Linked DNA regions of Elephas maximus indicus. The protein of the gene in region 2 purifies or fractionates together with the protein of the main gene of each other region. This does not show direct contact. Links are inferred from orthologs where the notes say so. Each region holds a gene or a part of one and is shown on either strand. Other genes may lie near its edges.

What was found.
Region 1: the proteins of HDAC2 (region 2) and GSE1 purify together in Homo sapiens (affinity purification with mass spectrometry; 5 studies listed by BioGRID and IntAct, with this or other methods). This does not show direct contact. The link is inferred for Elephas maximus indicus from reciprocal best matches to the Homo sapiens genes HDAC2 and GSE1.

What each region holds. Positions count from the first base shown.
Region 1 is NC_064839.1:51,005,065-51,013,109, forward strand, and holds the start of GSE1 (genetic suppressor element 1), read left to right. Parts: upstream 1-5,036; 5' UTR 5,037-5,357; coding exon 5,358-6,770; intron 6,771-8,045.
Region 2 is NC_064819.1:180,220,097-180,227,869, reverse strand, and holds the start of HDAC2 (histone deacetylase 2), read left to right. Parts: upstream 1-4,760; 5' UTR 4,761-5,008; coding exon 5,009-5,060; intron 5,061-7,773. UniProt on the Homo sapiens protein: Histone deacetylase that catalyzes the deacetylation of lysine residues on the N-terminal part of the core histones (H2A, H2B, H3 and H4).

The DNA.
Region 1 (8,045 bases), on a different chromosome or scaffold from region 2:
AACTTGCGGTGGTGTTTTGGATACAGAATCTGGCCTCCGCCCTTGGCTCTACCATAGATCCCCCCCATATGCCCACTTGTGAAAATGTGGGACAGCACAGGGCAGCAGACCCAGGCTTTCCCCGAGGAGAGGAGGCATAGAGACAGATCAACAAAACCATGTGTGCTCAGAGCTGGAAACAACTCTCCTGGCAGAGTGAGGGCAGATTCCTGTGGTTTGGGGGCTCAAAGGACCCTACAGGTAGCTGCAAATCTGACATGTGCCCAGGTGTTCCATGCTGCCTGGTCTCCTGAGACTGGAGGTGGGGTGTTTACACCATAGTTCCCAATGCAGGGTCTGCCTGGGAGCATCTGTCATTGCTTTCCAGATCCGCCACACTCGAGTCCTAGGAATTTAAGATGGAAGGAGCCAGGGCTGGGCATCACATGGTCTGGAGGGAACCTGGCACCCTCTCTCTGCCCGCAGGGAGGGTTGTAGGGCTCAGAGGAGAGGTGTTATAGGTTGAACTATATCCCCCAAAAGATATGTGGAAGTCCTAACCCACGTACCTGTGAACGTGGCCTTGTTGGCAAATAGGTCCTTTCTTCGCAGATGCTATCAGTTAACTAGGTTATGCTGGAGTTATTGTTGTTCTTGTTAGCTGCTGCCCAGTTGATTCCAACTCATGGTGACCCCATGTGTGCAGAGTAGAACTGCTCCATAGGGTTTTCAAGGCTGTGACCTTTCGGTAGCAGATGGCTAGGACTGTCTTCTGAGGTGCCTCTGGGTGGGTCTGAACTGCCAAATAGGGTGTGTCCTAATCCCTTCTGAGTGATGTCTTATAAAAGGCGAGATCAGACACAGATACAGAGTCACACATACGGGAAGACGCCATGTGAAGATATCTCTACAAGCAGCAAAGGGCATGCCAAGGATTGCCGGCAGCCACAGAAGCTAGGACGGAGGCACGGAACATGGAACTGCTCCTCTCTCAAAGCCTCAGAAGGGATCCACATGGCCATTGCCCTGATCTGGACTCCCAGCCTCCAGAACTGTGAGCTGATAAATTTTTGTTCTTATGGCAGCACTAGGAGACCAAGACAGAAGGCAAAGAGATGGCTCTCCTGGGACCCTGAAGCTGTGGGCCCCACACTCTTGGCAGGATGCTTCGCGGGCCCTTCCCACTTTGAGCCTTTTGCATTTTCTCCTTAGAAGCAGGTACTTGGAGTCTACTCTGGCACGTGACGTTAATACCAACGAGCTTTGGCATGCTGTCCTCATCTTCCTCACCCATACCCAGCCTTTTTTGTGTCAAGACTCAAATCTGTGAAGCCCTTATTTCCTTAGGCGTGAAAATGGGAACATGGGAGAGGGGATATGGGACCTTCTTGGCCATGCTTGTCCTATCCAGCTGGCGCCTCAGAATTTAGGGCAAGGCTAATCTTAATAGCTCACATACCAGGGGGTTACAGAGACACAGCCTGGGTTCAAGTCCCAGCTCCACCAAGCTGGTTCCTGAGACAGGGATTTTCTGAATCACTGGGTCATTGAGAGAAGCAAAAACATCCACTTGAGCACTCCCCACCCCTGCTCTAGGCCCACTTTACACGTACATGCACACACACAGAGACATACACGTATGAATGCATGCACACACATGAATGCACACATACACATGTAAACGAACACAATGAATGCACATATACTCGTGCACACACACGTACATAATGGATACACATACATGCACACAATAACACACAAACACACACATGCACACAATGAATGCACGCATACATGCAGACATGAACACGCATGCATGCATACATACACATGCACACATGTACACAGATGCACTCGCATACACGTGGCACACATCCAGTAGTTCTCCTGAATCTCCAGCTTAGCCAAGAAAATCCCATTTCCCACTTTTTGTCCAGTTGACCCCTGTGGCCCTTCTCCCTCAGACTCTGCACAACCTCATCACAGTCGCACCCCCTGCCCCCTGGAGTGCAGACAGACAGCAGAAGAACCTCCTTTACCACTGGGTGAGACAAGAAGGGACATGCACTGTCACCAACAGCATGCCGGCTCCCCTGTGCCAGGGCATCACTCCCTCTACCTCATTTGATCTGCTCAAAAAATCATGAGAGGTCGGTGTGTGGGGCCCAGGCATTGAGCCAGGCACTGGACATACACAGTGAGCAGAACTGACTGGTCCCTGCCCTGGATGAGGGAGCACCCAGCCTCCCGGGGGAGCTGGATGGGGAACAAGCAGACAGAAAAAATAATTAAAGTCAATGGCAAATTCCTATGCCAAGGACTAGAGACAAAGGGTCACCGGGGAGGCCTCCCTTTAGGGGGAGTGGACAGGGAAGTCTCTTGGGATGACATTTCGGCCAAGACCTTAAAGATGAGCTGGAGCAGCTTGGCAAAGAGAGCCTGGGAAAGCATTTGGGCAGAGGGACAGCCCTGCCAAGCCCTGTGGGATCCAGGTGTAACTCCCCAGCCTACCTAGATCTCCTAAGCTCGGCATTGTTTTACCAGCAGCCCCTCTGCGTGTATATGTGGGGGGAGAGGGACGTTGGCCAGTCCCCCTTTAATGTGTGGGGATACAATTGAACAGACCTCACCCTTTAACATTTTCCTAATCAGCCCCCTCCTGTTGCCCTCCTGCCCTGCCCCTGACATTCCTCTGGGACAGTTTTGCTGACGCAGCGTTTTTCCACTATGAGGGCATTTCTGGCCAAGATGTTCACATTAACCTCTGGACTGTGACCCCTGGAGTATCCACGTGGGATTCCACAGAGGTGGCCCTTTTCTCTTGCTCTGTTTATTTATAATGCATGGCCTCCTTTGTGCCAAGAGGAAGCCCAGTTTTATTTACAAGTCAACGCCCCAGAGGCCGGAGGGGCCAATTGGCACCATTGTCACCAGGCCGACTTCTGGGCTCCAGCTGCCAGGTCGGACAGCTGTCAACTGCTTGGAAATCAGAGGCTCACAGAGTTTTGAAGCTGGAAGGGGCGTCATTTCACAGATGGGAGATGTGAGGACCAGAGAGGCCTGGGTTTGCCCAAGGCTGAGCCAGGACCGCAGGGAGAACGGAGGAGTCCTGGCCATGTTCCCTGATGGGGATGGCCTATCAGCACATGGATGACGGACCAGATATGTCAGGTGCCCATCAAGGCTGCACAGCCAGATCGTTGGGAGCAGGGGCCTGGAGCTGGACTGCCTGAGTTTGAATCCCAGCCCCACCACTTCCCACATTAACCCTCTATGCCTCATTTTTCCCATCTCAAAAATGGGGCTGACCACAGCACCCAACTCAGAGTTATTGGGAGAAGTAACTGAGCTAATATGTGTAGCGCTTAGAATGGGGCCTAGCACACAGTAGGGTCTCTCGCTACGTGTTCCTTAAATAAACTCACTGTATTTATACACATATTCAGTAAATGCACTGGAAACAGTTACCCTCTGCTGCAGTTCCTGTTTGTCCAGAAGGGGGGAAGACTCTCAGACAGGTTGAGTCCCTTGCCCCTAGACACATAGGACCTTTTCTGCCTCTGGTGGTGATCCAGTGGCCTCTGGTCAACACGGGGGGCGGGGGGACGGGGGGCCTGGCTGGGCCCCCAGACTGATGCTTCACTAACCGTGTTCCAGGACAGCTCCTCTTCTCTGTCTCCAAAATTAGAAAGCCGGGCCTGAAAAGTTCCCTCACCCCTAGGCTGCTCAGCTTCTAGTAACTGGCCCTCACTCAGCCCCCGCCCCCCTTTTGAGCGGGTAGGGGGGCCTCCGTCCGGGAGCTGCCCTTCATCTGCGGATGCACCTCGGTCTCCAGGGGCGTCCTTACCTGGTTCCTCTGGCGTTCTGCGTCCTCCTTGACCTTTACTTAAAGACCAGCCTTGGCCGCTGATGGGCTTCGGCGGGTCCCTGAGGAGGCCCTTCAGACGGCTTTAGCCGGGCGGGCTGGAGAGAGCCCCTAATTGGGGCAATGAATCATTGTGCGCGGCTCCGGGGCTGGACACAAAATAGATAGTGGAGCCGGCGAGCTATTGTGCGCAGTTTGGGACGCGGGAGGAGGGAAGGAGGGCGGAGGGAGGGGGAGGAGGAGGAGGAGGGAGCGCGCGAGGGAGGGATTCCCCGCCTGCCCTCCTCCTCCCTGCCCGCCCACCCGCCCGCCCGCCCGTCTCCCTCCTCCCCAATTAAATGACCCAACGCTTTGGCAGGCGCCGGAGCTCGCACATGCGGCTGCCGCTCCAGCCGCCCGGAGCCCGCCACCGCCGCCGCTGCGTTCCGGGCGCGCTCGCCGCGGCGCCGCCTCGGCCTGCGCCGCCGCCGGGTGCTCGGCAGGCCCGGGGGGCGCCCCCGCGAGCGGCCGCGCGCCCCGCCCGGCGTCTGCCGGCCGCCGCCAAACTTTGCGGCGCGCGCTCATGGTCCAAGTTGGGCGGCAAGGCGGCGGGGCCCGCGGCTGCCGGTGAGCGATGAGCGGGCGGGCGGCGCCGGTCTCCCGCAAACAGCGGCTTATGGCAGCGCTGGCCGAGCGGCCGGCGGGCGGCGGCGGCGCGCCGCTCTCCTGCTTCATCTGCGGCGGCGGCATCGGTCGCGGAAAGGAGCTGAAGCTGCAGGTGAAGCAGCCGGCGGCGGCGGCGGGTGCGGGGGCCCCGGCGCAGCCCTTCTTCCCGTTCCTGCAGCAGCAGGAGCCGGCGCCCGGCGCGCGCGAGCTCTCGCCGGCCGACGGTTGCGTGCTGGTGTGCGCGGTGTGCCGCTGCTTCCTGGGAGAGCAGTGGGCCGCCTTCGAGCGCGCCCGCACGCCAGTGGACAAGCGCATGTACTGGCTCAAGCGGCCGCACCAGTGCGAGGCGGGCGCGGGCGGGCGCCGCGGGGGCGCGGGGGCCCCGCGCGAGTGGAACGTCGCCTACGCGCTGGGCGCCGGCGCGGGCGACGACGACGACGAGGACGGCGGCCCCGGGCCCCGCGCGCCCGCCGACGAGGCGCGCGACTCCGAGCTGTCCGAGCTGTCGGACACCGATCCCCTCTCCGAGCCCGACCCGGGCGCGCACGACGCCGTCAGTCCGGCTCAGGACGGGGCGCCGCTGCCGCGGAGCACCCCGGGGCCAGGCCCTCGCGGGCCCCGCGGCCTGGAGTGGAGGCCGGCGCCGGGACTTCCTCTGGGACAGAGCGCAGAGCCCCCCGCTCAGGGGGACGTGGACGAGGAGGGGGCCCCTGCGAAGCTGCACGTGAGCGGGGAGCCCAGGACCGGCAGCGGGCGCCGGCGGAGGGGGACTGGGAGGCACTGGGCCCCTGAGGCCCGGGCCAGCGTCCTGAGGGGCATTCAGGGCACTTGGCAAGACCCACCAGTCCAAGCGCCTGCTGCAGATGGAATGAAAGGGCCCCCCTCTGGCAGGCCCACCAAGACTCCAGAGAGCAGGCTGCTGGGGGAGACCCACGGGGGCTACTGCACCTCTGAAGACAGTGACATCAACATCACCAGCGAGGAAGAGGACGACAAGGAGCAGCCCTTCCCTGCCCCCTGCGGCCCCAAAGAGAAGGACAACAGTGACCGGGTCCCCCGGGGGGCCCCGGAGAGCCGTGTGGTACCACCGGAGGGACCTTGCTGCTACATCTGTGGGTCAGCGCTGTCGGCGGCGTCGCAGCACCAGATCCACGTGCAAAAGCAGGAGAAGTTGGCACAGGCCCCGTTCTTCCCCTTCCTGTGGCTGCACAGCCCGCCCTCAGGCGCACGTCCCATCAGTCCTGGAGGCAGCACACTGGTGTGTGCCTGCTGCTTCACCTCTCTCATGCAGCAGTGGCAGAGCTTCGAGCTGGCGAGTGTCCCTGTCCTGCAGCGGCTGTACGTGGTGCCTCTGAACAGCCGTGCGCCGGGCATGGCCTCCAAGGGCAGAAGGCTGCCCAGGGAAGAGGGTGTGCCTGCCGCAGCCCTTCGGGAGGCCTGTTACCTCTGTGGCGAGGACTGCACCCAGGATGCCCGAGCTGTGCCTTCCAGGATCCTCAATGGCAGCACCAGGAGCACCATGCACTTCCCCTTCCTCAGCCTGCTGCCCTGCCCCCCCAATGCACGGGCCCCCAACAAGCTCTGTGAGGTCCATAGCTGCCCCAAGTGCTTCAGCGTTCTGGAGGATGTCTGGGCCTTGTACCGGGCCTGCCAGAATGAGGAGCTCATCACCTCCGTGCAGGCCTTCCTGGGCAGATACCACCAGGCCTTCTCTGCGTCTGACTCAGGAATCTCTGAGCCGCCCACCGCAGCCCAGGGCAGCCCAGCATCTGTCTGCTACATCTGCGGGGCTGAGCTGGGCCCTGGGAAGGAGTTTCAGCTCAATGTGAACCCCTCCAGCTGCCTGGGTGAGAAGGAGCCCTTCTTCCCCTTCCTCACTGTGTACCCGCCTGCCCCAAGAGCCAGGCCTGTGGACTCCACCGGCCTGGTGGCGACCTGTGTGCTCTGCTACCACGACCTGCTGGGTCAGTGGCTTCAGCATGAGGCCCGTGGTGCCCTCCATGCCATCAGTGCCTGGTCTCGGCAGTACCAGGTAGAGACCTTTGTGTGCTTCTTCTGCCAGCAGGAGAAGAAGCGCTGTCTAGGAATGAAGGCTGTGCGAGTGGCCCGACTACCCCTGTTCCTCTATACCTTGCGGGCGAGCCACAGCCTGCTGGTGGACGATGGGCGGCAGCTGATCATTGGTGCCTGTGTGGAGTGCGGGACTCTAGTGTGTGCGGGCCAAGGGCCCAACCGTCAGGGGCCTACCGGCTGGAGTTCCCCAGTGCCAGTGGTGACAAAGGTAAGCGGTGGTTCTCATCTCATCTTAAAGCCTTCCTTAGAAACCTGTGCAGGGAAGGAAGCGGTGTTTTCTGTTTCTCTGCAGTTTGTGCTGGTCCTGCGTGGTGTGTAATGGTGAGAGGTCACCAGGCTGCCTGCCCTTGGTTGGCTCCTTGGCCTGGCAGAGCTTGGAGACACAACGTAGGAGGTCAGAGAAGTTGAGGGACCAGGAGTGGTCTGTGGAAGAACGGGCACTGCTGAAAACAGCAGGCATGGGAAGGAGCTTGGGCGTTTTTGCAGCAGCGTGTTTGTGGCGGAATCTATCAAACAGAGGAAGTTCAGGGCATGTCTGTCATCTGCCTGATAACATTGGTAATTAGTCCAGCCATGCAGGTCACAGAGAGGTCTCGGCACTTACCATGTTTGGAGCATACCAGGGGTGGAAGTTCCTCTCCGCTCTAACTCTAGCTGCGCCTGAGCTTTCCACCACCTCCCCCCCCGCCCCGCCACCCAGTCCACGCTTTCCCTTTGAGACTCTCTGGTTGCTTAACAGCAGATGGAAATGTGTTTCCAGACATGGGGGTGTGGGACGCGGGAGACAGTGGCCCAAACAGACTTCTCCCTGGTGGGAAGAGTCTTTCTTCTCTGCCAGTCAGCTGTGCGGGGTGGGAGGGAGGTGGTAGCAGAGGCCTGGGTGCTCCCTGTTTATATGGCGCTTGCCTTCACTCGGCTGCTTGCCCTGGAGGAGCTCCATTAATTTTGGATTTGGGGGTCTGGGGAAGAGGATGGCTGTGAGTCGAAATCATGCGTGGCCTAGGGGGCCGTGAAGCCTAGTTTCCGCCCAAGAGGGTAGGCTGGCTTGTTTTACTCAAATACCTGCTGGTGCTGCTGTCATGAAACGCTGACCCAGCAGCCGGCGGAGGGGCATGTGGATGGGGCAGGCCATCCCATCCTATTCAGGAAGGTGGTTCGATCCTTTGATCCCTTCGAAAGGTTTCTGATCCCACCTTCCACGTGTGTGCACACATAAGCGGAGGACCCTGGTACATGTGTACTCACAGCGGCCCCCTGTGTAAGGTGGTGTCCCCACCACATATCTGTCCTGCTTCCTTGGTCTGCAGGGTCCCACACCTTCATGGATCGCCCAGGTCTCCTTCTCTAGCTGACACCTGGGTTGTGCTTTAAGGCTGTCTTTGGGGGCTCCGATGGGACAGCCTTTGATTTTAAACCGAGCCTATCGTCTCCCATCCTGGAGCCCGAACCTCTCATTGGTGGCGTGTGGCAAGCCAGCCCCGGG
Region 2 (7,773 bases):
TGGAGAAGAATGATGACCAGATTTAATAGGAAGTTTTAAAAATTGGAATAAGAAGGAGGAAGAACTAAGACACACATGGTGATGAGGAAACACTGGTGAGTAGATTCTCCCAGGCATAGTCCGAGAGTAGCATTGTATCATAAAATTTGTGCAATTAGGTGGATGGGATCAAAGTGATACTGTGTTTTGAAGGTCACCAGCAAAGCATTAATCAATAACAACAGTAGTGCCTTAGAAAGTTTAAAGTAACTGAATGAATTAGTAGATAATTTATGGTTCAGAAATATATATTGTTTTCTGTAAATGGATAATCATTAAATTTTGTTAAACAAAGGCACAGTTCAAATCACATCATAATCTCTCATGTTTGGCGTGCTGTTCAGGTTTATGAGTTACAACTTGTAGTAAACCAAAAAACCTGTTGCTGTCAAGCTGATTTCAACTTGTAGTGGCCTTAGAGGACAGAGTAGAACTGCGCCACAGAGTTTCCAGGGAGCACCTGGTGTATTGAACTGCCGACTTTTGGTTAGCAGCTATAGCTTTTAACCACTACACCACCAGGGTTTCCAAATAGTCACCGTGCCTCTGAAGTGATCAGAATTCAGCTTGAGACTGTTTTAGTTTGTAACAACACCCAAGCATCAGTCGCTATGCTCCTCTACCTTCTGTATTACTTTATAGAATTACTGCACAGAATTTAACACTAAGAAATCTAAATTTCTTTAGAGTAGAAACAAGATTATATGAAAAGCTCTTTTATAGCAACTAAAAATTAAACTATCTGCTATAGTTGGTAATAGGGTACAATTTTTAGGGAAAGCTCAGGCAATCTGTTTTTAAACAGTCCTGGTTTAAATAATCCCTTTAGGTTTAACAGATCATTTTACTGAATAAGCTCAAAGCACCAAACATCTTTGAGACTGAAAAAATAAGTTTATATAGACAGAGCAGGAACTAAAGCAAAATAGTTTAAGGATGAAGACAATCTTCAATTATGAATTCTATCAATTATTCACACTCTCAGCTTGTTTTCTTTTATTGCATATCATCTTAAACTTTCTGTTTTCTAATGGAAAAAGGGTTGATGGAGATGTTTCAATATGGGAAATGAAGTTTGGAGTTTATCAAAGGGTTCCAATAATGGATCCTTCTTTTGACCTTAGTTCTCATGATCTAAAGTTCAGTATAGATATTTAGGAGCATAATTCTCATGGCCAGCTCTTATCACTGGATCGAACTGCTGCAGTACTGATTCCAAAGGTAAATTCATTTGCTTCTATTTGTTTCAAATAGTTAGATAACAAATAATATAGCAAGGTCCGTGTCGTGGATTGAATTTTGTTCCAAGAATTTGTATACCAATTTGGCTGGGCCATGATTCTCCGGTAGTGTGTGATTTTCCTATATATAGTAAATCCTGCCTCTATGATGTTAATGAGGGAGGATGGGCAGCAGTTGTGTTTCTGAGGCAGGACTCAACCTACAAGACTGGATTGTGTCTTGAGGCAATCTCTTGAGATATAAAAGAAGTAAGCAGAGAGACAGAGGGCCTCATACCACTAAGAAAGCTGTGCCAGGAGCAGAGCATGTCCTTTGGAAACAGGGTTCCTGCGCAGAGAAGCTTCTAGTCCAGGGGAAGATTGATGAGAAGGCTGAGAGAGGAGGACAGTGAAAGCTTTCGCCTGGAGCTGACACCCCGAGTTTGGACTTTTAACCTACTTTACTGTGAGAAAATAAACTTCCCTTTGTTATGCCATCCACTTGTGGTATTTGTTAAAGCAGCACTAGATAACTATTACTGTCCTTAACCAATCAAGATTCATGTTCAGGCTCTTCTCAAAAGGTCAAGGCTAGGTGTTGTGAATGTAAATGACAAAAATTATTATTATAATAATTTGTACTATAAGAATAATCATAGTTGCCCCTTATATTCACATACTTCTTTACAGTTTAAAATGTCTCCATATTAATTCTTATTTGAATCTGTCAATATTCATATAAAAAATTACTCTCCAAGTAATGCTATCATTTTACAGATAAGGCAATTCAGAGTGGAAAAAAAGAAGTTTAAGTGACTTGCCCAAAGTCACACAGGCATTAGAAATGTAATTATGAACAAGACAAACACAGTCCCTCTTCTTACAAAGTTCTGTTCCAAAGGGACATTCTGATAAGTGGGCAACATGGACACTATAACACGGTGAACGTTGAGCTAGAGGGGCTACAGGGCCCTAGGGAGCATGTAAAGGGCACAGAGAATAAACTTAGGAGAGGGGATCTGAAAGAAGTGGAGTCTCATTTCAGACTTCATGAGGTTGCCTATGGGGGAGAACATTAGTTTTCACTAAATTAACTTATTCTGTTCTCAGAATCTACCAAATTGAGTTTGGACTCGTTAGAGCAACACTTAGAAAGTCAATGCCATGTAATTGACTTTACCTCTAAGCCAATGTTTCTCACACTGTGGTTCCTGTATCATGGGCATCAGGCACCTGTGGTACTCGTTAAAAATAAAGATTGAGGGTGGGGAGAAGGTCTACCTTGGACTTACTTTTACTAAACCTCTTGTGTGTGAGGCCCAGGAAAATTGCTGCTGTACAGATGAATACCCTGGGAAGTTTCAAGTCATATAGCAAAACAAAATGCAAGTTTTTGATAGTAGCTCCAAATAGCTCCTGCTTCAGTTAAAGGGTGTGTGGGAGGGAGTGTGCATTGTGGGGACAATTGCAAATGATATAGTTGGGATAAGAGTGTTATACGGGGCTCTTTTAGAGTAGGTCCCTGATACATGTTAACTTAATGACCTGGGGACAGAGGTATTTATAACTTATATGAGTTTGTAAAGTCCTTTCTCTTAGGTTGCTGCTCCAATCTTCCAGTATCCAGCCAGCAACAGAATTGGTATAGTGTAGCAGCTAGGGGATGTGGATCTTAGAGAAAGACTGTTGTTGGGTGTCATCAAGTGGATTCTGACTCATAGCGACCCCATGGGATAGAGTAGAACTGGCCCATAGCATTTTCTTGGTTGTAATCTTTACAGACGCAAACCATCAGGTCTTTCTCCGGAAAAATGCCAGGTCTTTCTCTAGCAGAGCTGGAGATTTGAACTGCCAACCTTTTGGTCATCAGCCAAGCGTTTATCCTTTGCATCACCAGGGCTCCTTGGTGAAAAACTAAACTAACCCCCCCCCCCAAAAAACACAAAAAACGAAAAACCAACCCCCTTGCTGCCCAGTCAATTCTGACTCATAGCAACCCTAAAGGACAGAGTAGAACTGCCCCATAGGGTTTCCAAGGAGCAGCTGGTTAATGTGAGCTGCCCACTCTTTGGGTAAGCAACCTGAGCTCTTTCCACTGCACCACCAGGGCAACTACCTGAGTCCAAATCCCCAGACCACCAGTTAGCAGTTGTGAGGATCAGGTTCCTTAATCTGCCTCCGTCTTAAATAACAGAAATAGTATTTACATCCTAGCGTTGTTGGGAGTCTTAAATGATATAATAAGCCCAAAACCAAACCCATTGTCTTTAAGTCGGTTCCTAGTGTCACTTTTTTTTTTTTAGTGTCATAGTGACTCTATAGGACAGAGTACAATTGCCCCATAGTGTTTTCAAGGCTGAAATTTTTACTGAAGTGGACTGCCGTATCTTTCTCCGGCAGAGCAGCTGGTGAGTTCAATGAGAACATAGACAATTAGGTTGGCAGCCGAGCACTTTAACCACTGCACCACCAGGGTTCCTATAATGATATAACATGTATCTATTGGTGGAGCAAAGCCCTAGTGGCACGGTGGTTAAGCCTTCAGCTGCTAAACAAAAAGTCACAGTTCAAATCCACCAGCCACTCCTCGGAAACCCTATGGGGCGGTTCTACCCTGTTCTATAGCGTCGCTAGGAGTTGAAATCAACTGACGGTAACAGGTTTGGTTTGTTTTATTGGTGGCGCAGTGGTTAAAGCCCTCAGCTGCTAACCGAAAGGTTGGTGATCTCATGGAACCCACCAGCTGCTCTGCAGGAGAAAGAAGTGGCAGCCCGCTTCCGTAAAGTTTAAAGACTTAGAAACCCTATGTGGCAGTTCTACTCTGTCCTACTGGAATGGACTTGATGGCAGTGGATTTGGTTCTTGGTTATTATAGGCAGAGATGAAATATAAACACAACTGCTTAGAACCGTGCCTTACACGTAAACGTTCCCTAAATGCTTATTCAAACCCAGCCAGTACACTGTTCTTGACATTTTTATTGGATTCTTAACAGGCCAGTACCTCAGACCAATTAACAGCAAAAAATGAAAGAATGAATGAACAAATGAGGAAATCAAGAGGACCAAGTACATCGGCCGTGGGCAGCACTTCTCTTCCCGCCGGGCTCACGGCACGTGGTCGGCTCGAGCGGGAGCTTCGCGACAGTGGGGGAGGGCAGCGGCGTGGGACAACACCGAGGGGGTCTAGGCGGCGAAGGCTACGGTTGGGAAGGCGGCGACTGCGCAGGCTCGGGACAGGCGCAACGACTGTGCTAAGATCCGAGGGGGAGAACGGCAACCTGTCTCCAGGCTCCCTTTATCCACCTGCGGAAAAAAAGCCTGCCTTTTTTTCCTCGTTTCGTGACGGTACTTGGCTCCGCCCTCCGCAAATAGTTTGTTCAGGGTTAGGGCTCTTAACGTAAGAGTGAGTGGACCATCTTTCTCTAATCGTGCTCCTTGCTCCCCTCTAGAGGCCACAGTGGACGCGTCCCACCTCCCCACGGCCCCCGGAGGTGGTTTAGCTGCCTCCGCCCCCTCCCCAGTGTCGCTAGTTGGCGCCTCTGCCACCCCCTTCTCGGAGTGCCTGGCCCCTCGGCTGGGTGGTACCGACCCCTCCCGACACCCCCTCCTATCCTCCCTCCGGCCTGCCCTTCCCTGAGGGACTGCCACCTCCACCTTCGCCCCTGCTCTGTTCTCTATCCGCCGAGCCGCGGCGGCAGCAGCAAGAGGAGGAGCCGGTGCCCGGAGGCGGCGGTGGCTGAGGAGCCCATGGCGTACAGTCAGGGAGGCGGCAAAAAGAAAGTCTGCTACTACTACGATGGTGAGAGGCCGGGAGGGTGGGCGGGCAGAGCTGAGGCTGCAAGTCCGGGCCGCGCCAGGCCCGGCACGGTGGCCGCGGTCGCCAGTGGGCGCCGGTGCTGGGGGTGTGAAGGAGGAGGGACAGACGTTTGACTGAATCTTAACCCGTTCCCGACCTGGCGCTGCCAGTGGGAGATCTCTCCGCCGCGACCGGCCCCGCGGACGGGAGCTGGAGGGACGCCCCACTTCCCTTCTGCTCCCCTTTCTCTGGCAGTGCGGCCCACTGCCCCGAAGGTGGCTGCTTCTGCGGATGGCGCCGGCCTACCGCGGCTTAGTGGTAGTGGGGAAGGGGACAGCCCTCCCTCGCGCCTCTCACGCTTGCCACTCGTGGGAGCGGAGGTTTGGGGTCCCTTGCTCTGGCCGTCTGCACCCGATCCCTCTCCCGTCCCCCCCAGGTCAAACTGTCTACCCCGGTCCTGACTGCACACAAAGCCCTGCGGCCGCGGGAGCCCCGCCCCTCCAGCCCCCTCTCTGTCTGCAGTCCCCGCCCGCCTTCCCCTCCCCTCCCCAACCTCCCCTCTTGCCCCCGCGGTGTCAGCCCGGTGCGTCTTCTCCTTTCTCCTCCTCCAGCCTCCCCCCCGACCCGCCGACCCGGGGGTTGCTCCTGAAGAGCAGTGAGTGAGGATGTGGCCCCTAGTACGGCTTGTGGCACACTCCCACCTGTGTTATGCGTGGGCTCAATCCCTCTCCTTTGTTCACTGGGCTCTTTGAGCGCCACTTTCGCGGGATTCCAATGAAAGGGCTCCACTTCTGCAGGAAAAATTAGGGTTTTCGAGTTTGAGGCAGTTAGCCTTCCCGGGAAATAAGAGGAGGTGGTGGGGAAACGTGGAGCTGTTAATGCTTGCGTTGTAGCTCAGCCTCGTTGGGTCCTGGCTTGCCTCTGTGAGAGGTGGTTCCCACCCACTCTTTGTTGCTCTTTGTTCGATCAAGAATTATACCGTGCTTTGGGGTTTTGGAGAGCTTTGGCATCTGGCTTGAGAAGGCTGTCCTAGGTGAAAGGAATCCTGGTGTAGGAACACTTGGAGGAGTAGTGCAGAAGTACTAAAATTTTTCATCAGGTAAACTGGAACTCACAGTACAGTGAATTATAAAAGTTGGATAATTCAGTAGTTTCTGAATCCTATTTCCTGTGTCACTCTAAAGTATACTAAATGGAGTAGCAACTTATTTTACAGATTTAAGCAAAAACGTTAACTTGATAGTTTCTAGTACATGACGCTTGAGAAGAAATTTCAAAATTTAACAGAGGTGAGCCTCAATCGCCAGAAAACCCTTCCTGATTTGTGTGAGGCACAAATTTTGGATGCTGCTTCCTCCATTTGGTGTATTGTAAATCACAAAATCTTACAGTTGGAAAAGACCCTAGAGGATTAAAAAAAAAAAAAAATTAGAGGATTAGGTGAGAATAAATCTGACCTTAACTTGAAAAGAGCCATATCATGTATCTTCAGTGAGCAAGGATTAAGTAGTCTTTATGCCTGTTCAATGTAAAATAACCTCCTTTGTTGTCTGCAGAAAGATCTGATATCAAAAATCTAAATTGTCTGATGTATGGTAGCTAGTTGGTTTTATGGTGGGTAGTACAAAACAGAAACAGCCATATTTAAAAAAAAATTGTTGAGAGGATTGCATACATGTGTAACATAAATTGATGTGAAATTATGCAATGTCGTAGGGGTGGAGATGGGAGTACCTTTTAATTTTATCACAAATTACATTTCTGAAAGTTTGTTGTTTAAGAATCATGCATATTTAGGTTACTGGTGAAATCCAGGCTCTGCCTTCCCTGGTCAAATTGAAAAGTAAGTTAATTTTTAAATGATTTTGTTTCTGATGTTCTTCTCAAGGCTTTGGGGAATGGGGAAAACTTTAAAAGGACAGAGAACCTGAGGTAAGGCTCCTCCTGCAGCTGTTAGTTACTGTTGGCAGTGGTGGGCTCTGATGGAGCAAGCTGACTTACGACTTCTGGTCACCGGGCTTGAACTGTAGAACCAGGAGGTTCACTTGAGTAGCAGTTTTCTGAACAGCTGTTTGTTCCTGGGTCCATCTGTGATGAACCTTTGTTGAAGGAGCAGGGACAAGATGGGTCCTAGGGCAGGGTGCAGACTTGATAGGCTGAGAATATCTGAGAGTCTCATGATTGTGGCTTAATACTTTATTGTAGATCATTCAACTGCTTTACCTGAAAGGCCAACAACCAGGTGTTTAACTGACAGAGTTTGGAAAAATCTTTGGTGGGTCATCTGTCTTTTGTCTGTGGCTCTTACGTGACTCTTCATTTTTAGAAGGGGATATTTAGTTGCTTACACTTTAAATATTTGTGGAAAAGAGTTCCTTTTGTGTGTATGTGTCTGATACAATATTTTGCAGTTTTTTTTAATCGGATAAAAGCCATTATGCTAATTATTAATATGAGCGTATGCTAAATGGCACAATTCCAGAAGCTTACATTTTCATTACCAAAAAACTCTATTTAGTCAACTTATAAAGGTAGTAAATAATACTTTTTTCTTTTCTTTAAATTATAAAGAAATAGTATACAAGTAAAACAGCTTCCGCTCCAAAGAATTATATGACCTGAAAGTATGAACGTGTATAGAATTGTGGGTGGGGAGTTATCAGTAGTAATAAGCCTGAATAATCTTCTAGCCTAATTTATCTAGTTTTAACTTATT